Coturnix japonica: one gene and its partners. The protein of the gene in region 1 purifies or fractionates together with the protein of each later gene. This does not show direct contact. Links are inferred from orthologs where the notes say so. Each region holds a gene or a part of one and is shown in the gene's direction. Other genes may lie near its edges.

Region 1 (4,164 bases):
TCGCTGTGAGGAAGGCCGGGCCGGGGCTGCCCCCGTTGTCTCCGTGCTCCTGCTCGCACCTCCCCCACCGCCCCCAACCCAAACACTGACTAACCTCCCCGCCATGGCGCGGCGCACAGCGGCACTTCCGGCACTCGCCGTGTACTTCCCGTAGTCACCGGAGCCGTTTGGGGGCGTGGTCTATTTCGAGGCAGCCAATGGAAAAGAGCGGTGGGCGGGGCCAGAGCGCGCGTTAGGTATAAAAGCACGTGCATCGGTGTGTGTGGTACGTCAGTGGGCGGAGCGGCGGGAGGAGGGAGCAGAGGGACTAGCGTGCTGGTCGTACCGGGGTCCGGTGTCAGCTTGTGCTTACCACAGAATGACCCGGGTTGGAAGGGACCTCAAGGATCATGTAGTTCCAACCCCCCTGCCTGGCAGGGCCACCAAACATACACATTTACTAGATCAGGTTGCCCAGGGCCCCGTCCAACCTGGTCTTGAACACCTCCAAGGACGGGGCATCCACAACCTCCCTGGGCAGCCTGTTCCAGGGCCTAACCACTCTCCTAGTGAAGAACTTCCCCCTAACATCCAACCTAAATCTTCCCTCTTTCAACTTAAAACCATTTCCCCGTGTCCCGCTATTGTCAGCCCTTTCGAAGAGTTTACTCCCCTCCTGGGAGTAAGTTCCCTTCAGGTATTGAAAGGCTGTAATGAGGTCACCCCGCAACCTTCTCTTCTCCAGGCTGAACAAACCCAACTCCCTCAGCCTGTCCTCATAGGGGAGGTGCTCCAGCCCCTGATCATTTTTGTGGCCCTCCTCTGGACCCTTTCCAAAATCTCCATGTCTTTTTTGTACTGAGGGCTCCACACCTGGACACAGTACTCCAGATGGGGCCTCACAAGAGCCGAGTAGAGAGGGACGATCACCTCCCTATCCCTGCTGACCACCCCTCTCTTGATGGAGCCCAGGATCCCATTTGCTTTCCGGGCTGCCAGAGCGCACTGCTGGCTCATGTTGAGTTTTTCATCCATCAGGACCCCCAGGTCTTTCTCTGCCGAGCAAGACCTTATGGGAGCGGACCGTTGTGCTCCGGGGGCCGCAGTGCCTGCCTTGTGAAGAAGGGACGGCAGCTCCTTGGCAATCTGTTCCAAAAAGCTGAATAAAGTTCCCCACGGGTTGTCTGTAAGAGGCTCGCACCGAGAGTCCGCCGTAGCCGTCCGTCCCGGGAGCCATCTTGCGAGCGGGGACGCTCGGTGTGAAGCTGGCGGGAAGGGCTGGGCTGCCGCCCCGAGGTGGGGGAGGAAGGGAGGGAGGGAAGAAGGGCGGGCGGAGGAGGAGGAGGAGGAGGAGGAGGAGGAGGAGAGCGGAGGCGGGGACCGGGCGGTCCAGCCCAGCGCAGCGCCTTGCCCCGGCCGGACACGGCGCCCGGGGCGGAGATGGCGGACGAAGCCCAGAAGAAGCCGCACTTGTCGGCCCTGGTGGGGCACACCAACGGGCTCACCAAGCCCGCCTCGCTGGCCGCAGCCGCCACGCGTGGGGGAGGCGGCGGGGGCGGTTCGGCCGGTGCTGCCGCCGCCTCCTCCAAGAAACTCGTCATCAAGAACTTCAGAGGTGGGTGCGGGGCCGAGCGGCGGCAGGTGCCGGGCCCGGCCTCTCCGCACCTTTGTTTACCGCGGGGGCCGCTCCGCCTTACAGGGACGCGGAGAACCTGCCGCCGCTCCCTAACCGCATCCCGGGGTCTCGCGTGGGGCCGCGGGGTTGGGGTGGCCCCGCATTAGGATGGAGGAGGAGGAGGCCACGGGCCTGGACGCGCTCGGGCGCTGCCGTCTCGCGTGGGGTCGCGACCTGCCCCGTGGCCGTGCCCCGTGAGCGCCCCTGGGCTGAGCGGAGGAAGATGGCTGCGGGGAGCCCGAGCCTCGGGCCGCCTTCAGCCGCCTCCGTGTTCCCCCGCAGAAAGGCCCAAGCTGCCCGATAACTACACGCAGGACACCTGGCACAAACTTCACGAGGCGGTGGCAGCCATTCAGAGCAGCACTTCTATTAAGTACAACCTCGAGGAGCTCTACCAGGTAAGACCCGTACGGTGATGTTTTCTTTCGGTGTAATGTGGAAAATGGAGACTCGCAGGGCTTCAGATCAAGCAGAGATGTATTTTTGACTCGTTAAAGGCCAGTTATTATCTCCAGAACGCTCTGTGTTTCCAGACAGTTCACAGTGTTGTGCCTCAGCTTCTCGCTGCTCCTAGGAGAGTTCTCAAGGTCTGGGCCCATGAAGAAGCAATTTGTGTTGGAAGGTATTGAGAGCTGCACTTGGGCATCCAGCCACCCCAACACTCTGCCTGCTCCAGATCCTGAAATTAGGGTCTTGCTCTGTCTGGGCTTTGCAGTGTCTGTGTTTTACAATGGCTTTTTTGGTTCATGCTTTGGTGTTTGAGAGTAGCCAGCGTTAAAAGTATTTGTTACGATGCTGAGACTTCAGTGTCAGTGCTCTTTGGAGAATGAAGGCAAGAATCGCACTGCTCGTGTTGTTATAAAACATCACTGATGCTGTAAGTTGTGCCACGCGGCTGAAGTTAACAAGCAGGGTGAGTCTCAGAGCTGAAGTGACTTCTCTGTGTCATTAGATGGAGTGTAATGTGTGGCATCAGAACGGCTCGTTGTGTGAAGGCATATTGACCTAATATAACATACTGCCTTCAAGCTGGACTGATATATATGTGTCTGGTAATACTTATAGGTTTGCAGAATCTGATTTACATAATACATTTGATGGTTTTAAATAGAGCGTTTGAGAAATCCTGCATTTTCATGCCCAGCTAGAAAAACACAGATGCTTTGAATGTTACCTAACTTGTTTTCAGAGGCTCAGAAAAGAGATTATAGTAATATGGGTATGAAATTGCCGGGGCACGGACTTGAGCTTTGGCAGTAGAGGAGGAGGGAGATCTCAGATAAGCTGTAAAGAGAGAACTGTGCTTTTTGCTTATTCTGTTTGTAAAAATGTGCGTGTTGTAAGGACAGCCCAGCAGTCAGGAAGTCATTGGTGCAAATCAGCAAGATTCCTGTACGGTGGGTGGTGGCTGTGAACATGCCCATACATACATACATACATATTCCTTCTGCCAAAGGAATAAGAGGAAGTTCAGCATCTTTTGGAAAGCTGACCTGTATGTACAGGTCGCTGTAACTCTCGGTTGGTGAGCACAGAGCCATCCATGGGGAAAATATCAGTGTGTGTACTGCTTCTCTATGGCAGTGCTCCTTTATGTGCATCTCTATCTGGCACCATGACAGGAGAAGAGAGGCTGCTGGGGCTCAGTGCAGCAGGCAGTGGTACCCCAGCCTGCCTTGGAACTTCTTGATTGATGTATTTAATTTGGCACGGTGGCAGAGTTAAAAACAAGGCCTGGTGGGAAGCCCAAAGCATAGTCTTTCCCAAGCGGCAGTGGCCGCATGGGTTAAAGCACAAAGGTGCTTGGCAGAGGCAGTGAGCAATAGGAGGGTGGCAGCCAATTTTTGCTACTAAAATAGAAGTGATGTCTGGGATTGGTGGTAGATTGCCTGGATCTGGGTGGAAGTGGCTGATATTTGATGGGCTACAGAAAGTGGGGCAGTGCAAAGAACTGCCGAGTGAGGAGCGAGTGATAAAAATAATGGGAAAAGAGAATTCCCTTTGCAACAAGATCCTAAATAGCTTGAAATAGGGCAGCAGCTGCCCTTCTTGAGGGCACGGAATAGAACATTGTTGCAGTAAAGGGGGAAGAAAGTAAATGCTTTGAATCTGGACCAGACTTTTGTGTGGGTGGGTAGGAAAGGCTGTGTCTTAGAAAGCATAACCAAATATCTGACCAACAGTTGTGTGATCACTGTTTGTTTCAGAGGTCACCTCACGTAACCTGTTCTAAGACTGAAGTTAAAAACCAGCATAAACAACAAAGTAATCATGTAATGCCTGCTTGTTTCCATCTTGTGTGTTTTGGAAGATAAGCTCTTCAGGATATTAGAACTGATAGAGGAAACAGTACAAGCAGCAATAACTAGCTTACTAAACAGAGGACTCGGCTCAAAACAAGCCATTAAAGTGGTTATTTGAAACTTATACATGGCTTGTGTAGGTGAAGAGCCTACAGTGCTGTCTTTCTCATGTCATAATAGAAGAGATAATTATTATTACAGCTTTTT
Region 2 (3,500 bases), on another chromosome or scaffold:
TTAATTATAGGTAAAATACAGTTTTAATGTATTACAAACTAATTAAAGCTGTTCTATCAGCTATCAGAACTACTCTGCTTACTTACCATAGAATCTGGACTTGAGAATATATTTGTTTTACAAGATTATGCTACAGAATATTTTTGGAAGAATCAAACTGGAATTGTAATCAATTGCGTATCAAAGGCAATAAACATCTTACAGGATTCTTTCATTTTAATGTAATATCTGAATCCAGAAAGTACCTATGTTCTGTTTCAGTGAATAATCCTGTAATTATACAACTTGTTTTTTCCTCTCCCTTTGGCTTAAGAACTTGCTAGGAAACTCAAGTATTTGACAAAAAGTATTACAGTAGTAGTAGTAACAATTTCTTCTGTCCATATAGGAAATGCATTTAGCTGTGGATTAGGAGGCAGGATGCTCACTAAAACCCGGGTTGTTTTTTTTCTGTTTTGGTGTTGAGCAGGTGTATGATATAGCATTTAGCCGTGCAGGTGGTGGGAGAGATATGTTCGCTTCGGTTGGTGCAGATGGCTCAGTGAGGATGTTTGATCTCCGTCATCTGGAACATAGCACCATAATTTATGAAGACCCACAACACCATCCATTGCTGCGTCTCTGCTGGAATAAGCAGGATCCCAACTATCTTGCCACAATGGCCATGGATGGCATGGAGGTAAGGCGGTAGTTCTGCAGAAGGAACAAGGCAATTTGAGGGAGGTGGTTTGGTCATTTACACTTAGTTCTTAAAGTGAAGGTGCAGTAAGTGGAGCATGAGAAAGGCCAATTCTTGTTGCAGTAATTTCAGTAGGAGCTAGAGGTAAGTTTGGCATTATAAATGTGAAGGTCTCTGTGCCCCCCTCTATATTTCAGTCAATTTATGAGGGTTCCATGAGCCAGTTGGGCAGCAGCTCTCACATAAAACAGTAAGTGTGAGTATTTTAGTCACCTTGTTCTTTCTCAGCTCTTTGCACCAGGCAGTGTACCGTAGATTTTTACCTGAACTGCTTCAGGGAAGCATGAGTCACTTTTTTTTTCATAACTCACAAGCGTCCTATGTGAGGTCTGACTACTTCTGAAATGCACACAACATGCTGACCAGCTAGAAACTGTTCTTTCAGAACAATGTGTGCTTGCCAAATGCATCCTTTTGGAAGGTATTTAAAGCCTTAGTTCAAAACTCTTTGCTCTCTGGATGGGATGAGAGATGGAAATACAAGTTATTAACTTAGCTTGATTTTTGTTTCTGAAGGTTGTGATTCTCGATGTCAGAGTTCCCTGCACTCCTGTTGCCAGGTTAAACAACCACAGAGCATGTGTAAATGGAATTGCTTGGGCACCTCATTCTTCCTGCCACATTTGTACAGCAGGTAAGCATGGAAAGAGATTCTTGGTCACGCTCTTACCGTCTCTGCTGGTGAGCCTGGTGCTCTAGCTGTGCATCTCCTTTGGCTAAGCTGTTTTATTTCAGTGCTGCTGAACTTATTTTGCAATTTAGTTCTGAAGTGTTTGCACTTTGAGTTCCACCAATTGTGTTTTTAACTTTGTCCTGGATGACATAATTATCCAAAGATGTGTACGAGTTCTACTTGGAGAGCAGTTCTATCATTGTATCTGTCTCACTTTCTTATCTGAACTGCAAGGTCTATATTCAAACTAGCTTTTTACTACACCCCTCTTAGTAGCCATGTATGGACATCTTGTTGTGCTTTGATCCCACTTAGGATTTCGTTTTCTTTTGCAGCGGATGACCATCAGGCTCTCATCTGGGACATCCAGCAAATGCCTCGTGCCATTGAGGACCCTATCTTGGCCTATACAGCAGAGGGAGAAATCAACAATGTACAGTGGGCATCAACTCAGCCAGACTGGATAGCTATCTGCTACAACAACTGCCTGGAAATTTTGAGAGTGTAACACTACTGCTTCATGCCTAATTGAGGCAGGGCTGTATAATTTCCCCACCCCTCTAAAGTAAGAACAACACAAGTCAAGTGGCCAGTATCTGTTGTTGCTTTGCATCTACTGTTCCAAGAAACTGTTACAAGAATCAATGGCAGGTGTCTCCTGTCTCTCCAAGACTCTAAAATGCAGAGACACGCTGAGCCTCTTGGACCTTTTGGGTTCTGGTTTTCTTTGTTTTTGTTTCCCTCAGTTAAAGTTCTGTATATTTGTTTGTTGACTGTGTTAATAAGCTTGCAGGCTTTAAGTTGCTGCGTATGTCCAAGTGTTTGTCAGCTAGCCAGGGCGGCACATCTACCTAGTTTAATAGATGCAAGTGCAAAACAAGGTGGGGAAAAAGATGGTAATGTTAACAGCCACCTTGGCAGGAATCTTTATCATTCCTGTTGTTGCTGCCTCTAAACTGTTTAAACATTTGTATGTTTTTTATATATTGGGCTAACTTTCTATTGAGTAAGGCTTTTCTCCCGAATTCTTACTTTTGATATGTGATCCACTTCCATATACCTAAAGCAGGATATCTTTGTTGATACAAATCACAAAACAACACTGCAGGCTCCCTGGCAGTAAAGGCCTGCCAGAACTAACTGTTGCCTTGGCTCTCAATACCTGGTTACTTGGTGCTGTGAAGTACAAGTACTTGTTGCACAATTTCTTTACACTTCTCTGATGCTAGAGGCAGCTGCTACTATGGCAGGCCTTATTTTTAAATAAGAACTGCATTTACTGTGTGTCTCCTGCAGTTGTGGTAGCTAACAGAACGGTAATGGGTTTCAGACGGAAGGTATTTGCATGACTTGAGCTCCCTCTGAGGGAAATGACTTAAGAAAAAAAATGCTATTTGTAATAATGGACTCTGGATTGACGTTTCCAATGAAATGATTTCCCCTTAGAGGGCTTACGATCTGAACCAAAATAAAATGGTTTCACACTTTGTAGCTTGCTTGATTAGCAGATAACACGAGCAAGATCTTGTGGTTAACCAGTGCCATGGAGCTTCTTTGCATTTGTTCTGTGTTCCTGGGAGTTCTTGAAAGGAGGACCCTTTTTTTCCTAAACATGTTTGCTTTGTACTGTCGGGTCTTGTTGAATGAATGAGATGAGGTGGAAGAACTCATCCACCATCCAAATGAAAGCTGTTTCTCTGAAAGAAATAATTCCCTAATGTAATGCTCAGAAGACAGATTTCAAGTGAAAGAAACAGTGCCGCAGAGGCTATAGTTCGGTGCTTGTCATCCTTGTGGTTATTTGAGATGCATCCAAGGGCATCTGTTTCTGTTTTGAATAGTGGAATGCTTTACAGTAATACACTGCAATCAAAGCTGAGTGGATTAGACAAGATAAAAATCTGTACTGAAGTCTTAATATAGCACAGGTATTGAGATAAAAGCTCCACAGTGCTCTTCTTCCAATGAAGACATGACAGCTGTAGCTGGTCCATGGGGGTATAGCAGCTGAGTTTTGATGGAAATGTCAGAAACGATCAGCGCTGTCTTTCTACCTGATGTATATTCACCTGCAACTGCAGGCAGCAT
Region 3 (4,039 bases), on another chromosome or scaffold:
TTTATTCCAGCATTGCGCAGCACCGGGTGCAAGGGGGATAGCTCCACCAAACTTGCACACCGACTTGTAAAATCGTGACACAGATATAGGTACATTTAATACATAGTCAATGATTTCTCAGAATTCTGATACATATTCAATGATTTCTTAAACTTCTAATACATAGTCAGTAGTTCTAGGAATTCTGATCCATATTCAATAGCTCTTTAGCATACAGACCCCCTCTTGTTCTTATCAGGGGGAATGCAACTCCTCTTCTGGTCGTCTGTGAGGTCTCACTCCTTATCTGCAACCTCCCTGCTCTCCTAGGCCCCTTGTTTCTTTTACTTGTTACCTTTAAGTTTCCTTTACTTGTTTCTCTAAACTACCTTTAAGTTTCCTGCTTCACTGTTCAACACCAACATGTAACCAAGTCCAAATGAAACCACAGCAACAAACCTTGCTTCCTGCAGCCCGGGATTTTAATAAACGCCCCATATTCCGTCACAGCAGCCACCTGTGAAGAAAACCAACACAGCATTTAATCGAAAGCCTTTAAACATTTATTCTCACTATAGAACACACACAACATCCAGATTATTCGTGTGATTTGCTACAACTCCGGGCACCTCAGCAGGTTGGAGCCAATATAACTATATCATATGGGGCCAGCTGCTGCTGTGCTCTGCAGACAGGCATCCTATAGAGGCCGATATACACACGGTGCCATATATACATACATATATATACATATATATGTGATATACACACAGTGCACACACCTCGCCCTGGAAGATGGCGTACAGCTCAGGCAGCGGCTCCATCGCCTCAGCGCCGGGGGGTGACGCGCTGCGGGGCCTACGACATCTGCCAGCCGCCTCCAACTACAGCATGAGACCTAAAGATGCCTTAAAGGAAGAAAACCATATGGAGATCAGACGGACCCGCTACAAAACATCTCTAACTCGCTTCACTCTACGCTCACAGCCGCCATTAGGCCTCCTCCGCACCGCCCTCACCTGAGGGGAGTCTTCAGCCCGCCAATCAACGCGCGCGATACTGGCGGGAGACAAGCGCAGCCAATCGAAGTGACTCATGTTATCTAGTGCCCACCCCTTGACCTCTCCGGCCTCAGCCCGGCCAATCCGTGTGAGGAGCGCGCCGCGATCAAGCGCGGTTTATACGTCATCTCTATGCGACGGAAGGAAGAAGAGAGGAGGGTGGGACATCTGGAAGCGCTCGTCCAATCAGCTCTGCAGAAGGCCGCGCTGTTGGCCAATGGGGGGGCAGGCGGGCGCGCGCGGCCCGTGGCGATGATCGAGCAGCAGAAGCGAAAGGCGCCGGGCGGCCCCGTGCCAGGCCCCGCACCGGGTCCAGCTCCAGCTCCCGGCCCCGGCCCCGCTCCCGGCGCTGCACCCGGCCCCGCTCCGGGTCCCGATCTCCCGCTCGTGCCCTCGGCGGCCAAGCGGCCTCGCCATGACCCACCTGCGGCTGGAGGAGGGGGCGGAGGCGGCGGGCAGCCCCCGGCCGGTGCTTTGGTGCAGTCGGTGAGGCCTGTGAGGGGGGACGGGAACGGAGGGGACCTTCTCTTTTGTCCCTCTCTACTCGGCTCTTGTGAGGCCCCATCTGTTGTACCGTGTCCAGGTGTGGAGCCCTCAGTACAAGAAAGACATGGAGATTTTGGAAAGGGTCCAGAGGAGGAACAGGAAAATGATCAGGGGGCTGGAGCACCTCCACTATGAGGACAGGCTGAGGGAGTTGGGTTTGTTCAGCCTGGAGAAGAGAAGGTTGCGGGGTGACCTCATTGCAGCCTTTCAATACCTGAAGGGAACTTACACCCAGGAGGGGAGTAAACTCTTGGAAAGGGCTGATAATAGCAGGACACGGGGAAATGGTTTTAAGTTAAAAGAGGGAAGATTTAGGTTGGATGTTAGGGGGAAGTTCTTCACTAGGAGAGTGGTTAGGCCCTGGAACAGGCTGCACAGGGAGGTTGTGGATGCCCCGTCCTTGGAGGTGTTCAAGGCCAGGTTGGACGGGGCCATGGGCAACCTGATCTATGGGGGGTCTATGGGGTCTCTATGGGGATCTATGGGGTCTCCTGGGCAACCTGATCTAGTAAAGGTGTATGTTTGGTGGCCCTGCTAGGCAGGGGGGTTGGAACTACATGATCCTTGAGGTCCCTTCCAACCCGGGTCATTCTGTGATTCTCCTTGTGCCCCTGCTCCGGATCCCCCTCACCTCCCCTTGTTCTCCCGCAGGGTCCCCCGCGCTGCTCCTCGCTGCAGGCGCCCATCATGTTGCTGTCGGGGCACGAGGGAGAGGTGTATTGCTGCAAGTTCCACCCTGGAGGAAACACCTTGGCGTCTGCTGGCTTTGACAGGCTGATCCGTGAGTAGCAGGCCAGGCTTCACCACCCCTAATTTAAAAATCATTGTCTTATATCCCATTAAAACCTCCCATCTTTTGGTTTGAAACCACTTTCCTTTGTGCAGTCACAGCAGATCCTGCTGGAACATCTGTCCCTTCTTTCTCATAGCTTCCCTTTAGGCTGCTATCACACCTCCCCTCATAGCTTCCCTTTAGATACTGAAAGGCAGCTATCACACCCCCCTACAGCCTTCTCCGGGCTGTGGATCTCTCAGCCTGAATTAGATGTATTATATTGTCCACTTTCCTCTGTGCTGTTTCTCTAGTGCTATGGAATGTCTATGGGGACTGTGATAACTACGCCACCCTGAAGGGACACAGCGGGGCGGTCATGGAGCTGCACTATAACACGGATGGCAGGTAAGGGGTACGCTGGTAAATTCCTGCCCATTCCCCACTGTTTCTAAGGGAAGATGTTTTCTGCTGGCCAGAGCCCTGCACAGCACCTCTTCATTGCCCCAGCCCAGCCAGCAGCCCTTGCAACAAACACTTCTACTGTTCCAGATTAGGAGCTGAGCATTGGCTCTGGAGCCACTTGTGACATATAAATACCTTTGGCTTCAGTCTTCAGAAATCTGAGTGCTCATGTTGATGATGTAGGAACTGTAGTTGCTTAACAAGGGAAAGAAAACACGCATGCATCTGTACCAGGAGGTTGCTAGACTTTTCTTTCTCTCTTCCCATCACAGACTGTGTCTGAAGAGTCAGAAATCCTATCTGTAATTTTATATAGAAATGGGGTTTGGTGAAAGCACCTCCTCTGTATTTGTTCTGCTGCCAATCAGCCTGCTGTGAAAGATCACAGTTGTCTTTGCATGTTGGGCATAGTTCTTAATAGTACTGGGGCCAATTTCATTTAATATCTTTATCAGATCTTCATCAGATCTGCACCACCATGAAACCAGCAGGTGACACCAAGTTGGGCCGGAGTGTTGCAGATAGATCTGGGTAGGCTGAGTTGATGGTCTGAGTCCAGTTATGTGACGTTCAACAAAGCTAAGTGCTGGGTACTGCACTTGGATCACAACAACCCCATGCAGTGGTATAGGCTCAGGGAGAGTGGCTGGAAGGGTGACGTGTGGGAAAGGATCTGGGCAGTTGTAGAGAGCAGTGAGATATCCTGCCAGCCACCTTTCCTCCAGTCAAAACAATTTAGTTTCCCTCAGCAGCTGTATCAAGAAAGGTGGCTGTAGCAAGAAGGATGTCAGTTTTCAGGTGACAAGTTACAGGACATGATCTTTTCAACCAGAATGAATGTCTGATTCAGTGGCGCGCTGACAATATTTCAAGCTTTGACATCAAGTCTGGAGAGTAAGAAAATAGGGTGGGAGAAAAGCTTCTGACATTGAGAATCTCACAGTGATTCTTCTCCACAGCATGCTCTTCTCAGCATCCACAGACAAGACTGTGGCTGTGTGGGACAGTGAGACTGGAGAGAGAGTAAAGAGGCTGAAGGGCCATACCTCGTTCGTGAATTCCTGCTACCCAGCAAGGCGAGGACCTCAGCTTGTCTGTACGGGCAGTGATGATGGGACAGTGAAGGTCAGTATAAGGAGATTAGTTACTGAAATCTTTTATTCAATTGCCTTGTTCCCTCATATTTTTCTTTAAAATCTGGGAATTCCTGATTGGA
Region 4 (3,500 bases), on another chromosome or scaffold:
TGCAAGACTTACAAGCTGCTGGCTTTGATGAGGTGAAGTATTTAATGTTCAGGCTTTAGTGTTCTAAAAACTGTCAGAGTGTGTTGGATGAGGTGTTGGTCATGGAATGTTTAAACAGCATATGATGGGCAAAATAGCTTTGAAATCTGGCAGAGTTCTAATTAGAACTTAATGAAGCTGGGATGAAGAAGGGGAACAGATTTAAAGAGGCATTTTTCATTTTTTTGCACCATTTTCAGTGTGTTCTTACATGGTAGGGGTTGTTTTAATTCTGTAAATCGTTTTAGAGAGAGGTGGACACTTCAGAACATGGATTTTGCCTTTGATACTCAACAGGATTTTAAATTGTGCACAACTAAAATACGCTGATAGTATGGCCATCCTAAAGTGATAGGCAATAGCACGTATTTCAGGAACAAATTTTAATGGCCTTCTCACATCTGTTATTAGAAAGCCAGTGAGGGAAAAATGTTCTGTGATGCTTTGGTATTCACAGGGAGGTTAGGTTAAGGGGAGCGAATATCTCCAAAGCTACGGACAACATTTCTCTGTAGTTAATCAGCACTTGAAAGGGATACTGGAAGAATTTCATGCAAAAAGTTGTCTGTTGACATAAATAGCCTCTGCATCAGTACCGTACACTAGGCACGCTCCCAAAACATCTAAAGTATTCACAGACAAAGTCTGATTTGGAATGAGGTTGGTGATTTCCATTCGGTCTTTGGTTGGATCGTTGCTTAGCCAGGCACTTACTACAGACTGGTTAATGGTGCTGTGGGAAAGATAGGCAGTACTTCTTCCTCCTAAAAGAAAATAGGGAAGACAGGCAGATCAGTTTATAAAGAAGGGGAACATTTCTCCACTGTTTACAATTAGAAGTTACAAACAATCAAGCAGTCCTTATGAGTGTGAAATGTAACTATTAAGTCAGTATCGTATCATCAACTAAAATCCCACACAACACGAAGGGATCTGGTTTCATTCAGGAACAGTTCTCCAGCCGTGACTTTGAAGTTTACAAGAAGGTAAATTCATAATTCTACTATCATGGCCTCAAGTTGCGCCAGGGCAAGTTTAGGTTGGATATTAGGAAGAACTTCTTTACAGAAAGGGTGGTTAGGTACTGGAATAGGCTCCCCAGAGAGGTGGTTGAATCGCCATCCCTGGATGTGTTTAAGAGCCGTTTGGATGTGGTACTCGGGGATATGATTTAGTGGAAGGTTTTTAGAGTTAGGGTACTGGTTAGGCTGCGGTTGGACTTGATGATCTTTTCCAACCTGGGTAATTCTGTCAATTGGCATTTCCTCAGTAATGTCCCAGAATCAGGTGCTGCTTGTGGAAAAAAATGCACTTTCCTCCGGCTTGCCCAAATGCAAAGATTAAGCTGGATTTGCAGTAAGAATGGAAGGGTTTTATAATGACAAATGATTTTATAATGATTTGTTCCTTATCTGTGGTTTGCTGCTGGAGTGGTTTTGGTTTTTACAATAGATTAGCTCTCGTATCCATTTTTACAGAATGGGTCTCCAGTCAGTTTCACAAGCTGTGGGATGGTTTGTGGCTGGATAGTAAACTAGAAAACCATCTCAAGTTGGTATTTCTGTTGGAGCCTTTGTGTCTTGAAGCCTTTTGCTCTCCAACCTTTTGTTCTTGGATGCAATCAAGTTGAAATGTTGCAGGTGTAAGTGTCTCATGAAGAAGCTGTGAGATCAAATGTTGTAACTTCTTGATCTAGCAATGTACACCTGATCTGTAAGCATCAGGGCTATCTTGTTTTATATATATATATGTGTGTGTGTGTGTGTATGTATACTTTTCTGTTTTGTTCATTTTGTTATCATTTCTGAAGGCTGCGTATTTTGTACATTTGCAGTGCCAAAAACATACAGATGTAATGGAAGTATAAATGTGGGTTTGAATTTGAAATTGATACTGACCTCCTCCCTTCTGAGCCCTCCTCCCTTCCGAGCCCTTTTGGATTTCCCATTGATTTCACTGGCAGATGAATCATAGAATGGCTTGGCCTGGGAGGGGACCATAAAGATCATCCAGTTCCAGCCCTCCTGCCATATACTGCTGTAATTTGGTGACTTGTTCGAAAATAATGTGAACTGAAATGATGGCTTTGGTATGACAAAGTATGGCCATAACAGATCACTGGAAGGCAGAGCGGTTAATTAAAGGGAGTCACTCTGTATATTTTTTTCACATTCTAAGTCAACTGCAAAATACCATTCAATAAAAATGGGAGAGGAGTGCCTGACTGTTTCGATCGCCTGTTTCTTGACCTCAGTCTCATTCAAGTCCAGAGAAACACCGCGGATCTATGATGCATTTTCCATTGACAAACCTGGGATTGCTCATCTGATCAAAGCTTTTCTTTGGATCTCTTGAGGACGCAGCAAATCCCCACCACAAAAGTAACAGGATTTCTGATGATACTGTGATATTTACTAGTGAAAAATACTTGAGGAGAAGCTAAAGGATATTTGTTGATATTCCAGGTTGAAGAAAAATGAGCAAATGCCAAAATACTGAAACACATCTGAATATCTTTTATAGAATAAATTAAGTTAGGTGGGAGCTCTAGCTGTTATCTGAGTAATGCATATAGCAAATAAATACCTAGACAGACAAACTATAAGAATAGCATGGTGACACAGTTAATATCAGAATATAGTTGTTTTTTCAGAAGATGCAGGCTGTTAATTTCTTTGGAGGATCTGTTGTGGAGAAAACATTGTCATCTTATATTTAAGATGATCGAGAGAAGTCATTATGTACTTTTGTAAAATTACTGGAGGATATTTGGCTAAATTCTTGTGATTTTTATTATTCTTGCCATTTTGAGTAACTTTTTGTATTTAATTTTCCCTGTAGGATATGGTTATACAAGCCCTCAGACAAACTAACAACCGTAGTATAGAAGCAGCCATCGAATTTATTAGTAAAATGAGCTACCAGGATCCTCGTCGGGAGCAGATGGTTGCAGCTGCAGCAAGACCTGTAAATGCAGGTATGAAACCACCAGGTAGGTGCATCTGTGGCACTTCAACTCATTAACTGTGTTCTTACTGGTGAAAAATACAAAATAGCAAATTAGAACCTAGCACTCTCTGTCGTGTGCTCAGAGTAGAAGAGAGGAGGTGCTGAGATACAGGATTTTGCTTTGAAGATTATTTGTGAAGTGTATAATAGAATTCTTCTGAAACATGAGTGTCTTTGGTGTGAATTTAAGACTTGTTTTTAAAATATCTGATTGCTTTTAGCATTTTGTCTAAGTATTAGAAGCATGGAATCACCAAGGTTGGAAAAGATCTCCAAGATCATCCAGTCCACCCATCACCAATATTTCCTTCTAACCTGTGTCCCTCAGTACAATGCCTAAACAATATCCTTGTATATCCTTTTGCAAGGCCAGGTTGGACGGGGCCCTGGGCAATCTGGGCAATCTGATCTAGTAAATGTGTGTGTTTGGTGGCCCTGCCAGGCAGGGGGGT
Region 5 (4,090 bases), about 54 Mb from region 1:
GGCTGTCTGTCCTGATCTGCAAATTCCCGAGGGCTGTGAGAGTACATGGGAATAAGAGTTACTGCGCAGGCACCGTCCTCTTAAACTCCTTTGTGAGCAATAGGTGTGAGGCTGCCCTAGATGTAACTAGGCACAGGTCTTACCACCCTGTGTGTTAACCTAGTACAAGTTACGTGGTTAAAAACTTTCCCCATCACGTTGTCTGGCAAAGAGATTTGCCCCATCCTCCCTCGTCCTTACAAGCTTTTTGCCCAGGACTCTGTGGCATAGAGTTGTGAAAAATCATCACAGATCTGGACTATGTTTGGGGAAGGGCTAGAGATCAAAATATTGGCAGCGTTTTGACAAGCCAGTTTGATTTTGCATCTAAGGATGAACAAAGACTTTGCTAAGTTATGGGCAAGACACCGTGCGCTCACACGAGTGGTTGCATATTCAGAGATGATGATGGCCTTCTCATTAAGGGAGCTCGGGTAGTGATTCATTCCTTGCCCTTATTTTAGCTCCGTGCAGGACAAAAGAGAAGAAACACTGTGGTGACCCAGCAAAGAGCACACAAGACCCGGGGTCGGTGCAGAGGGAGGCTGCTGCAGCTGGGATGCTCGGGCTGCTTCGCTTTATCGAACTAATAATGAAAGGCAGCAAGCGTGTCAGAGAGTGTGAGAGAAACAGATCGATAGGGAGATAAAACTGAGATGGAAGGAGCTGGTGAGGGGGTGGGGGAGAGAGCAAGACATGCTACAGAGCAGCAGGGCTACACTTAGACCTGGTCAGAACACAACCTGCCCCGCTGTAGGTGGGTGCGTCAGGTGTCAGGGCGTGGTGAAGCACACGGACAGGGAGGTGAAGGCAGGAAGGTGGTGGTTGTACCTTGCACTGATGCTGCCCTGCTTCACCTTGTCAGCCCTTCTCCTCCTTCATTCCGCCGTAAGGAGCACCGCAGGCCTCGCTATCTATCACAGCCCTTCCCCACAGCCCCAGCCACAGCGATACTGTGAGCGGCGAGTGACCTCCAGCCGAGCGGCGGGGCCGCCACCATTATAACTCAGCCTTCCACCTCGGCCCTCCCAGCGCCGCTCCCCTCACGCCGGCAGCCTCAGCGTACAGACCGAGCTCCAGCCCGGCCCCGAGCTCCGAGGAGCCCAGCGGGGCCGGGACGGGACGGCAACCCCGGGCCAGGACCGTGAGCTGCCCGCTGCACCGCGCAGTCCTCCTCCGACAGGGGGCGCCCCAAACTCTGCCCGCCCGGCGTCACACCCGGAAGCGGGCGGGCTGCGACGGCGCCGCCATAGAGGAGAGGGCTCGGGGCGGGCTGGAGGTGGCGCCCGGTGGCGGGGCCGGGGCCTGCGGGACGCCAGCGCGGCGGGGCCGAGTGCCCGGCAGCGGGATGGCGGCCGAGGGGAAGGTGACGGGGCAGAGCCAGGAGCAGTTCCTGCTGCTGGCCAAGGCCGCCCGCGGCGCCGCGCTCGCCAGCCTCATCCATCAGGTGCTGGAGGCCCCGGGTATCTACGTCTTCGGGGAGCTGCTGGATATGCCGGCCGTACGCGAGGTGAGCCCTGCCCTGTGCCCTGCCCTGTGCCGTGTGCCCTGCCCTGCCCTGCCCGCGGCTGGGCCTGGGCCGCGGTGTGGCCTGACTCGCCTTCTGTCCCGCAGCTGGCCGACTCCGAGTTCTCTCCTGTCTTCCACCTGCTCACCATCTTCGCCTACGGCACCTACGCCGACTACCTGGGTGAGGTCGGGCTTGGGGAATCGTGCCCTAAGCCGCAGAGCTGGGAGCGAGGTTGGGTTTGGGCGTGAGGCCGAGGAGGCCATGGAGGGGTCCAAAAACATCTGGGCAATGGTGTTTGCGAGGGGTGGGGGGAGGACTGGGGGATTCATTGGGATGTAGAGGTCTCCATAAATAAGGTGTGGGACAGCTTGGGGAGGTGGCTTCAAACGGAGGAGAGGCTGCTCAGTGAAGGTCCTTTGAGCTGTGGATTAATGGTGACGGCCTGCTAAGACAAAGCATCACTTTGGGAGCCGTTGTGATGCAGTTCTGAGAAATGGGACTGGGGCAAATGCTTCCGTTGCGGGACTGGGAAATAGAACATGAGGTATAAATTCTAATGCCCCGTCCTTCCCTTTGGCAACAGCTGAAGCAGCAAACCTCCCTCCCCTGACAGAGGCTCAGAAGAACAAACTGAGGCACCTGTCGGTCGTCACTCTGGCTGCAAAGATCAAGGTAATGCCCCTATTTTACCTCTAGTTTTCCTTCTTCTGAGTTTACCTTGTGTTAGTTACCATCATGTCTCTGCAGTGCATCCCCTATTCGGTGCTGCTGGAGCAGTTACAGCTGAAGAACGTCCGGCAGCTAGAGGACCTCGTGATCGAGGCGGTGTATGCAGATGTGCTGCGAGGGAGCTTGGATCAGCGGAACCAACGCCTGGAGGTGGATTACAGCATTGGGAGGGACATCCGGAGGGAGGAGCTAAGCACCATCACCCGCACATTGCAGGAGTGGTGAGGAGGAAGCCGCCCATACTAACACCTTCAAAGGTTGCAGGAGTGGTCAGGGGCTTCACCAGATCATCCTTTGTGTGTTGCTGGGGGGCAGCGTAGCAAAGTGACCTCTGTCTCCTTTCCCAAATGGCAGTGGAAAATAGTTTCCACTATCCAACGTTCTTCCACATTGGAGGGGTGAGGAAAGGAGCAGCAGTTTTTGCATCCAGCTCCAGCTGCTGGCAAGAGTCTTTCTGAGTATACATCTGTAGCTCTTAACCTAGTGCCGCTTTGTTATGTGTCTCCCTCCTAGGTAATAATGTCACTACATTATTGCTTTGGACTGCCACCCCTGTGCCTACCCTGCCTAGAGTAGCTGTTACCTTCCAGGTTTTATTGGTCTTTACAGTTCAACCAGTCATCTTCATGTTTCTTTCCCTGCAGTACCAATTACCTGTCCTGTTCAGCTTAACATTTTCTCTACAGGTGCCAGGGCTGCGAGGTTGTCTTGTCTGGCATTGAAGAACAGGTTAGCCGAGCCAACCAACACAAAGAACAACAGCTGGCACTTAAGCAGCAGATAGAGAGTGAGGTGAGTGGGCTGAAGAGGGAGAGGAGGAGGCATTACCCCTTGCTTAAAGAAAGAGTGGAACCAATACCCTGTTGTTACTATAGCCCTTGTTCGAGGGCTATAGTATAGTATATATACTATATAGGGCTAAGGCATTACCCTAGGCTGAAACCCTCCGGGGTAGTTATGCTTGAGGAAGAATTGGGAGTCACTTAAGCACTTCTCAGCAGTGCAAAGCTCTGGACAAAATAAAAGGGAGGAGGAAAAAAAGATAATAACTTGAGAAATTCCTTGGTTCTTGTTTTACTGCTGTTGCAGGTGGCGAATCTGAAGAAGACAATTAAAGTGACAACAGCAGCTGCTGCAGCAGCCACCTCTCAAGACCCAGAACAGCACCTCACAGAGCTCAGGGAACCTGCCCCTGGCACCAACCAGCGCCAGACCAGCAAGAAGACTTCCAAAGCCAAAGGGTGAGGAATGGTGGCAAACAAACGTAGCCACTGCCTAATGTGTGTTGAGGGGAGTTCTGTTTTGTAGCACTGAGGTCACTGCAGGGGTCTACACCCCAGGCCTGGAATGGTCCAAGCTGACCTCCACCTCTGGCTAATTCAGGGGGTGCAGCTCTTGATCTGAAGCACAGTTCATAAGCCTTCCCTGAATGCCAGCTGTTCTCTGTGTACGCTTAGAAAAGGAAGTCAGAGATGAAGTTTAGTGTCCAGTCTAAAACTTCTTCCTCTCTCCGCAGGCTCCGGGGCAGTGCGAAGATTTGGTCTAAATCAAACTAGTTGGATCTCCCTTCACAGGTGGGAGGGTGAGAGGAAGAGACTTGGGACTCTTGCTACCCCTCCATCTACTAAGTGTGATGCTTCTGAGCTCATCTCTGAGATCTGTCTTGCCAACTAATTCTCCTGCATGTACTCTTTTCTGTCTTCTTCACTTCCTTTCTGGGCAGTGCTTCCCACCTTTTAATCATGACATTTCACACTCTAAGCTTCCAGTTGAATGCATTGCTGTTTTCCCCTACCCCTCAAGGTTCCATCA
Region 6 (3,871 bases), on another chromosome or scaffold:
GTTTGTGAAGTGTACTTGTGCTTAAAAACCTCATTCCTGTCTCTCATCTGCTTATAATTTTCTGGTTTATTGTTGTGGAGCTTTCTGTGTGGGGGAGAATTCCAGCGCAGATAAGAGTGTCCAGAAAGCTGGGGCCGAAGGTAACAAGGGAATGGCTGAGAGCTTCATCCAGTGTTAGGGGTGAAATACTAGCAGTACACAGCACATGTGAATTATTCATGGCAGCAGATTTGAAGCAGCAAAGCACAGTGGAATGGCCGCAGTGTTTTCATCTTCCCAGCTTGGTCCTGCAGGAAGCCTTGAGGTGTCAGCCCCTAAAAAAGGGATTGCTGGACCATCCTGTGTCAAAAAAGAATAGCTGATTTTTGCTGGTGTAAATATAGAAAGTGAACATCACTGGTAGCATGTGCTTAGCAGATAGAATATTTCCATCTCCAGCTCATGCAGTAGTCAGAACAAAAATATGTGGAAGGGTTTTTTTTGTCGAAGGATTGCTTCGTAAAAGCTGGTTAATTCTAAATGCAGTCATGCTCAGAATCTTGAAATGTCAGGCTAATGTGAAGAATTGTCTTATTTTCTAATCCTGTGATCCTATTAAGTGGTCTGTTTTGGAGAGATTTATCTCCAGCAGTCATGGTAAATGAGAGCTTTGGGGCAGTTAAGCTTTAATTACAGCGATTTCTTTTCATGTGTAAGCCATACCTACCATTTCAGGCATCCAGAGTTTACATTTGTGCAGTTCTCTTGGAGGAGCCCTAATAATCTTCAGGGCTGTTTGTTCTCTGTGGTCTCTGTTAGAGGAGAGGCTGCACGTGAGCCATTTTTGGTGCTCAGATGCTTTGTTAGCACACGGGCTTACACAGAACTACTTGCATCCTTAGGATGTTGTTATTGGGAATGTTTCTGTTTCAAGGTGATAACGATTTGAGCTTTCATAAAGCTGTCACTTTATGTCGCTGTATGTTGCAAAGTGTGCTGTGTTACGGGCTCTTCAGACTAACTTCATTTCTAAATTCATTCCTGTCTGTAGGTTCAGTGGTCTCCCCACAATGAAACTATATTGGCCTCCAGTGGCACTGACCGCCGGCTGAACGTCTGGGACCTGAGGTAAATCCCAGATCAGTTGGGTTGTACCAGTGAAATAATGTTGATGAGTTGCATCACAAGCAGCAACAACCAAACCCACAATTATTATTACTGTTTTTTTAAAGTAAAATTGGAGAGGAGCAGTCCCCCGAGGATGCTGAGGATGGTCCCCCAGAGCTGTTGGTAAGAACTCTGAGCCTCATTAATTGTTTGGTCCAATTTACTCATCTCTGCAATGTGGATTTGAAAGTATTACTGCCCCTCCACCCTTCTTTTATTTCCTTCGCTCCTAGTTTATTCATGGCGGTCACACTGCAAAGATATCTGACTTCTCCTGGAATCCCAATGAGCCCTGGGTTATCTGTTCTGTATCAGAAGACAATATCATGCAAGTCTGGCAAATGGTAAGTTGGGAACTGCAGGAAGTGGTAGATAAGACACAGCATTGAACTGCCTGAACGTCAGCATTCCAGGTTTTATTTACAGGTCCCAGAAGGATTTGCTTTGTAGCACTGCCTAAATCTCGATTGGGCAGTGAAATGTGTTTTAGATTGGGTAGAAATTGGCTTACAAATCCTGAGGAGCTGTTTTGTGTTTCTCCAAGTAGTGGTGTGTGGAGTAGAAGGGACATTTTCCCATCTATGTTTGAATGAAAACTAGGTTAAATAAAAAAAGAAGACAAAACACCAGCCAACCAAACAGAAATCAGCTCATAAACAAGCAGCAAAACTCCATCCAGCCACCACCAGCCACAGCAACTGCAAACGTGAAGTTGAGGTTTCTCTTAGTTGCTGTCATACTGGGTGAGTTCTCTGTGTGTGACACAGATGTCCCCTGTGGCTGCATTGGGGCAGTGTGGTGGTGAATAGAAGAGTGCTGGTTTAATTTCCAGCTGCTGAAAGTTCTGGAGAACGATCCCTAACAGCTCAAATAACCTTTGAAAAGACCATGCTTCTAATTTTGGTTTATTTATGGTTTGGTTCACGGAGGCTTTGTCTTGGCAGCATATCTGTATAGTGCTTAGGACAAGTGATGCTGCGAAGTGAAGGATCTATTAAATGTATGCACAGTAGTCTCAATTAAAACAAGCCCTGCTGTGGTCGCTGCTTTAAGAAGTCGCATGCCCGTAAGCTGCAGTATCAGAGTACTTCTGGGTGTCCATCACTACTTCAAAGCAAGGCAGCCCGTGTTGAAAAGCCCCGGGGGTTTGGTGACAAACATCTGCAGATGAAAATCTACCATGACGTTTTGAAACGCTGTGGTGTCCTGTTAAACGTGATGGGAGGTGCTTCTACAGCTCCTGTGCTTTGACTTGCAGGCAGAGAACATATACAATGATGAAGACCCAGAAGGAAGCGTGGATCCCGAAGGCCAAGGATCTTAGATGACGATCCTTCCTGTTTCTAGTCCTTTTCCTTCTCTTCCCTCTCAGCCCTGATACTGACTTAACACTGGTTTTGAGACACACGTAGACTTTGTGTTCAGCCATCTTTCTGTAGAACCATCAGCGGTGCTTTTTACCCCAGGCAGTGCCCCCCGAACAAAGGGCTTCTAGTCCAGCTCAGCCAGTGCTGTGCTGCAGCTCCTCAGTCACATTTCCCACAGCAACCTCCTGTGTGCAGAGCCAGCCCAGTCCATTTTAGCTGCCTTCCTCATGCAGAGCAAACTGTTTTGTTGCTGTTTTTCTGTCTTTAGCTTGTTATGGCTGCGGGCTCCTGCCTAATTTAAACAGAAGTTAAATCAGAACTGCCAGAGAATTCTTGATGCAGTGGAGATGGTGCAGGGTTAATCCAGCTGTGGATCAGAAATGAGGGGGGAGGGTCTCGTCCTCTTCAGTACAGCTCAGAAGCTTCGGGCTTCCCTCAGTTAATATCTGCCTGTGCAGCTGTCTGCCTCCGCAGATACATAAAGCGACCTGCAGGTTCTGAGTTGTATTTTTTCCTATACTTCCTTTTGTCTTTACTGCTAACCCTGGGTTTTTCAGTTCTTCCCTTCCATCCCCTGCGTGGCAGTGCTTTGGGTACAGCAGCTATTCCTGCACTCACTCCCGTTCATGCATCTTGTTCTATTGTGTGTTTCTTGAGCTGTGTTTTCACACCTTTCTTTCTGTGAAATGGTTTTAAAAACTCTGGGGCCACAGCGTAGTGAAGGTGTCAGCATTTCCCAGCCACGCGCCACGGCTGGCACAGCCCAGTCACCTGCAGCACTGCACCAGCTGCCCATTCCTCATGTTCCTCATCACTAACTGTGTAAGTGCTTCAGATGGAATAAATTTTTTCTACGTATGTGATTTTGTGCCGGTGTTTTCCTTCTGCATTAGATGTTTCCATGAGGGTGAGCCATCGCCTTTGAGGAAGCAGAGAGGGGGAGGAGAAAGAGGAGTCTGTGCTGTGAGGGGTTGGGTGCTGCTGCATGCTTTGCTGTTGGATGCAGTGGGCTTGGTGCCTTCCTCCATCCTGGGTCTCCTCCATCCTGGGTCTGCCTCCAGCCCTCACAGAACAGCAGTGGCTGTTTGTTTGTTCTCTGTATTTTATTAAGCGTGAACGTTTGGGTGCCTCCCCAGCCCCCATTTGACACACAAGCTTATTTTTCTTTGACACACGGCTTTGAGAAATAAAAAGATCCTTCAACTGACCTTTATTTTCAGTGTGAGACTATAAAGTGGGAAACCTTTTATCCACAGGCTTCAGTTTCTGTGGCCGTGGGAGCGAATGGCAATACAGCAGGCACTGCAGGAAACACTTCTGGAGGCAAACAGCAGCATTCAGCCCCATCACGGTCCTTC
Region 7 (2,959 bases), on another chromosome or scaffold:
CTGGTCCGAGAGCGGGAGGCTGCTGTGAGCAGAGCAGGAAATAGGAGGTTTGTGTGGAGCAGGGATGGAGTCAGAGGGTGCTGCTGCAGGATGTCTATTCTGGTCCTGTTGTGAAATCAGCAAGGAAAAAGGAAATGTGTGGCTGTGGCTTGTTTGTCAGTGGGTGGCAGTTGCCCTTCTTGAGGGCTGCAGGCTGCAGGTGTTACAGGGCAAGTTGGGGTGGCTGGAGCAGGCTCACTGCAGCCCAGAACAGGGCTGGTTTGCTGCAGGTGCCACAGCGTGAGTCTGGCTGCATTTCCAGAGCTTTAATTGATGCTGCTGTGAGGCCTCATTTCAGACTCCAGTTCTGGAAACCTACTTGTGTTTGTAGCAGGGCCTGGGTCACAAAGGGGGTTTGCCCCCTTAGGGTGGGTGTCTGTGGGTGATGGCACTGCAGATGGAGGCTGGGGCTCCTGGCTGGGTCAGGGCGCTGGGTGCAGAAGGCAGAGCCTGCCTGGCCGGTGTCCTCACTGCTGTCTTGTCTGCTGCAGCGGGGCAGAAGATCGCCATGGCTACATCTGGGACCGACACTATAACATCTGCCTGGCCAAGCTGCAGCACGACAACGTTGTCAACTCGGTGGCCTTCAGCCCAGTGGAGCAGGAGCTGCTGCTGACAGCCAGCGATGACACCACCATCAAGGTGTGGCGCTCCCCTCGCACCGTGCGAATCCAGCAGGCCAGGAAGCCCAGGCCCAGGAAACTGCTCTTCTCCTGGCTCATGAACCAGAAAAGCTGAACCCAGGTATAACTGCTCCTGCAGCTTCCTCACTGCGGCCACCTCTGGAGCTTGCGGTGCTTTGAGCCCTGCACAGCGGAGACGAGCTCTGAGCACACCAATCCTGTCAGCTGAGTTTGGAGGGACCTCGGCAGTGGTAATGGCTTCCTCCTTGGAGTGTCTGCTTCAAAGACAGAATGTAAGGGCTGAGGACCAGTTCCTGGGTCCGGTGGTCACTGCAGGGTAACCTCCCCACAGCTTATCACAAACGCTGCTACTTGGTCACAGCTCTCTGGGTGAGCTTTGGTCTCTGAGAACAGACTGAGGCGCGTCTCCAGGGTTTGTACTGTGTGGGCCTGGAACGTGGCTGACTTCACTGAGAGCTACTGGCTACAGAGCACCTGCACAAGCAGTGGTACAGTGCTGTGCTGCCTTACTGCGGGTCTCTTTTAATATAGTAGTTTTATTATTGTTTTGTTTGTCCCAAATCTCCATGGGCAACTTGTCTGGATGCTGGGTGCGCCCAGTGCCGCCCCACACAGTGTTTGGGCCACAAAGGGATGGCAGGAAGGATCAGAGGCTGAAAAGGCAGCGGGGGAGGCAGTGCTGGGGCAGAGCTGGAGGGGCAGGGCTGCCCTGCCATTGCCTTCTCTTACAACTAAATCCTGATACCATCAGTTTACAAATCTGAGAATGGGGAGAGCTGCTGGTAACGCCGATCTGGCTTTGCCCTTGTCTTCCCCTGTTCTGTAGCACCTGAATAAGCTATGGCATCGGTAACATATTTATTCCAGGGGCTCTGCTGTCCCTTCCAGGGGGTAAACTGTGATGATGGGTCTCATGGTCACCTCCCTCCCTACTTGAGTTGTGGCACTTTAGGTTTTCTTGGTATGTTCTCTGTGAGCAGGTGAACAGGCAGAGGTGCAGCCATAAGTGTGAATAAACCTCCTTCCACCAGGGCTGACTCACCTGGGGGCTGGTGATCAGCTCCCTCTGAGGGCTCCTCTGATGGGGGAAGCTGGCTCACTTTATGAACTCAGTGTTGTTTACTCTGTATTTGTCCCTGAAGCTTTTCTCTTTCCAGCCTTCAGCCAACTGTTAGAGTCTAAAATTAAGCTCCTAATCTCCACTTGGCCCAGACAGGGGGAGCTGAAGCTCCCAGGCCAGCAGTGACCCCAGGGGCTGCACCTGCTGCTACGCTCTGGGCCCCCCAGCTCAGGAGCAGCAGGGCAGGTGTCTGTGCCACTCACAGCCTCAGGTTGCAAACAGGCTTCATGGAGACAGCGGCTGCTGTCTTAATATGCACTGATGGCTTTAACAGCTCCTCCAGCCCTCAGCAAGAGGGTTTCACACCCTTCTCTTGCTCTCTCTTGCACCCAGCAGGTGCCCATGGCTTTATCCAGAACCCCTGTACTCAGGTTTTCGGTCATCACAGGACTTCTAGAAACAAGGGAGTCCTTTGTGTGTGTGTGTGTGTGTGTATATGGGTGTGCACTCAAGATCCTAGACCCAGCTCTTGGTCCCCTCACACAGCAACAGAACAGTCTCCACCTTCCTACATCTTCCCTCCTGCCCCAAGATAGCAAGTCCTGTTTGCCTCCCTTGGCGCGGTGCAGTAGTGAGCAAGGCACTGAGGGTTTATGTTTGTACCAAGTTTTGCTCTTCACCATGGCATTGAATAAATACTCTGCTAAAGCATCTTGGCAATGTAAGTTTGTTTTTCTTAGTACTATTTTTTCTACAGAAGCAAAACTGAAGCCAGAAGTTCAATATTGCTCTACGTGCTGCAGCCCTTGCAGAAGAAGCTGCAGGACGGGATCTGGGCAGTGCTGCCTTGGTGTCCTTCCTTGCCCTGCCTGCAGGAAAGCAGCTGAGCTGGGGGGCAGCTCACCCCACAGGGGCACAGCCCCAGCCCTGGGCATGGGGCAGAGTGTGAGGACTGCAGTGTGGCAGCAGGAGACCAAGCACAGCCCTGCTGCTGTCCTGGCCCGGCACTGCCTCTTCAGCCCCATGCAGTGATGGAGCCTGTGAGTTACACAGCACAGCAGCTCCTCACGCTGCTTTTATTAGAGTTTTTCACCACACACCATCCTCAAGGAAAAGCTCCCTCACAGTGACAGGCTGAGGTGGGTGTTCCCTCGTAGCTGTGGTCAGATGGGGGAAATCAAGGAACAAAGGGGGGAAAAAAAACCCACTTTGCTGT

Evidence for each region.
Region 2: the proteins of CUL4A (region 1) and DCAF7 purify together in Homo sapiens (affinity purification with western blotting; 4 studies listed by BioGRID and IntAct, with this or other methods). This does not show direct contact. The link is inferred for Coturnix japonica from reciprocal best matches to the Homo sapiens genes CUL4A and DCAF7.
Region 3: the proteins of CUL4A (region 1) and SNRNP40 purify together in Homo sapiens (affinity purification with western blotting; 3 studies listed by BioGRID, with this or other methods). This does not show direct contact. The link is inferred for Coturnix japonica from reciprocal best matches to the Homo sapiens genes CUL4A and SNRNP40.
Region 4: the proteins of CUL4A (region 1) and LATS1 purify together in Homo sapiens (affinity purification with western blotting; 3 studies listed by BioGRID). This does not show direct contact. The link is inferred for Coturnix japonica from reciprocal best matches to the Homo sapiens genes CUL4A and LATS1.
Region 5: the proteins of CUL4A (region 1) and COPS7A purify together in Homo sapiens (affinity purification with mass spectrometry; 8 studies listed by BioGRID and IntAct, with this or other methods). This does not show direct contact. The link is inferred for Coturnix japonica from reciprocal best matches to the Homo sapiens genes CUL4A and COPS7A.
Region 6: the proteins of CUL4A (region 1) and RBBP4 purify together in Homo sapiens (affinity purification with western blotting; 3 studies listed by BioGRID, with this or other methods). This does not show direct contact. The link is inferred for Coturnix japonica from reciprocal best matches to the Homo sapiens genes CUL4A and RBBP4.
Region 7: the proteins of CUL4A (region 1) and FBXW5 purify together in Homo sapiens (affinity purification with western blotting; 5 studies listed by BioGRID, with this or other methods). This does not show direct contact. The link is inferred for Coturnix japonica from reciprocal best matches to the Homo sapiens genes CUL4A and FBXW5.

What each region holds. Positions count from the first base shown.
Region 1 is NC_029516.1:123,900,109-123,904,272, reverse strand, and holds the start of CUL4A (cullin-4A), read left to right. Parts: upstream 1-1,364; 5' UTR 1,365-1,419; coding exon 1,420-1,594; intron 1,595-1,936; coding exon 1,937-2,052; intron 2,053-4,164. UniProt on the Homo sapiens protein: Core component of multiple cullin-RING-based E3 ubiquitin-protein ligase complexes which mediate the ubiquitination of target proteins. As a scaffold protein may contribute to catalysis through positioning of the substrate and the ubiquitin-conjugating enzyme.
Region 2 is NC_029542.1:2,165,924-2,169,423, forward strand, and holds part of DCAF7 (DDB1- and CUL4-associated factor 7), read left to right. Parts: intron 1-469; coding exon 470-679; intron 680-1,255; coding exon 1,256-1,373; intron 1,374-1,747; coding exon 1,748-1,920; 3' UTR 1,921-3,500. UniProt on the Homo sapiens protein: Involved in craniofacial development. Acts upstream of the EDN1 pathway and is required for formation of the upper jaw equivalent, the palatoquadrate. The activity required for EDN1 pathway function differs between the first and second arches.
Region 3 is NC_029538.1:606,576-610,614, reverse strand, and holds the start of SNRNP40 (U5 small nuclear ribonucleoprotein 40 kDa protein), read left to right. Parts: upstream 1-1,239; 5' UTR 1,240-1,292; coding exon 1,293-1,526; intron 1,527-2,237; coding exon 2,238-2,367; intron 2,368-2,672; coding exon 2,673-2,766; intron 2,767-3,782; coding exon 3,783-3,948; intron 3,949-4,039. Other genes in the region: ZCCHC17 (nucleolar protein of 40 kDa), read right to left, coding at 439-496, 762-803. UniProt on the Homo sapiens protein: Required for pre-mRNA splicing as component of the activated spliceosome. Component of the U5 small nuclear ribonucleoprotein (snRNP) complex and the U4/U6-U5 tri-snRNP complex, building blocks of the spliceosome.
Region 4 is NC_029518.1:43,382,646-43,386,145, reverse strand, and holds part of LATS1 (serine/threonine-protein kinase LATS1), read left to right. Parts: coding exon 1-32; intron 33-2,880; coding exon 2,881-3,031; intron 3,032-3,500. UniProt on the Homo sapiens protein: Negative regulator of YAP1 in the Hippo signaling pathway that plays a pivotal role in organ size control and tumor suppression by restricting proliferation and promoting apoptosis.
Region 5 is NC_029516.1:69,466,888-69,470,977, forward strand, and holds the start of COPS7A (COP9 signalosome complex subunit 7a), read left to right. Parts: upstream 1-1,290; 5' UTR 1,291-1,387; coding exon 1,388-1,549; intron 1,550-1,653; coding exon 1,654-1,729; intron 1,730-2,132; coding exon 2,133-2,221; intron 2,222-2,296; coding exon 2,297-2,499; intron 2,500-2,964; coding exon 2,965-3,070; intron 3,071-3,367; coding exon 3,368-3,519; intron 3,520-3,794; coding exon 3,795-3,834; 3' UTR 3,835-3,852; exon of another isoform or gene 3,853-4,090.
Region 6 is NC_029538.1:4,591,595-4,595,465, forward strand, and holds the end of RBBP4 (histone-binding protein RBBP4), read left to right. Parts: intron 1-1,030; coding exon 1,031-1,107; intron 1,108-1,211; coding exon 1,212-1,269; intron 1,270-1,379; coding exon 1,380-1,490; intron 1,491-2,404; coding exon 2,405-2,470; 3' UTR 2,471-3,371; downstream 3,372-3,871. UniProt on the Homo sapiens protein: Core histone-binding subunit that may target chromatin assembly factors, chromatin remodeling factors and histone deacetylases to their histone substrates in a manner that is regulated by nucleosomal DNA.
Region 7 is NC_029532.1:185,961-188,919, forward strand, and holds the end of FBXW5 (F-box/WD repeat-containing protein 5), read left to right. Parts: intron 1-530; coding exon 531-777; 3' UTR 778-2,459; downstream 2,460-2,959. UniProt on the Homo sapiens protein: Substrate recognition component of both SCF (SKP1-CUL1-F-box protein) and DCX (DDB1-CUL4-X-box) E3 ubiquitin-protein ligase complexes.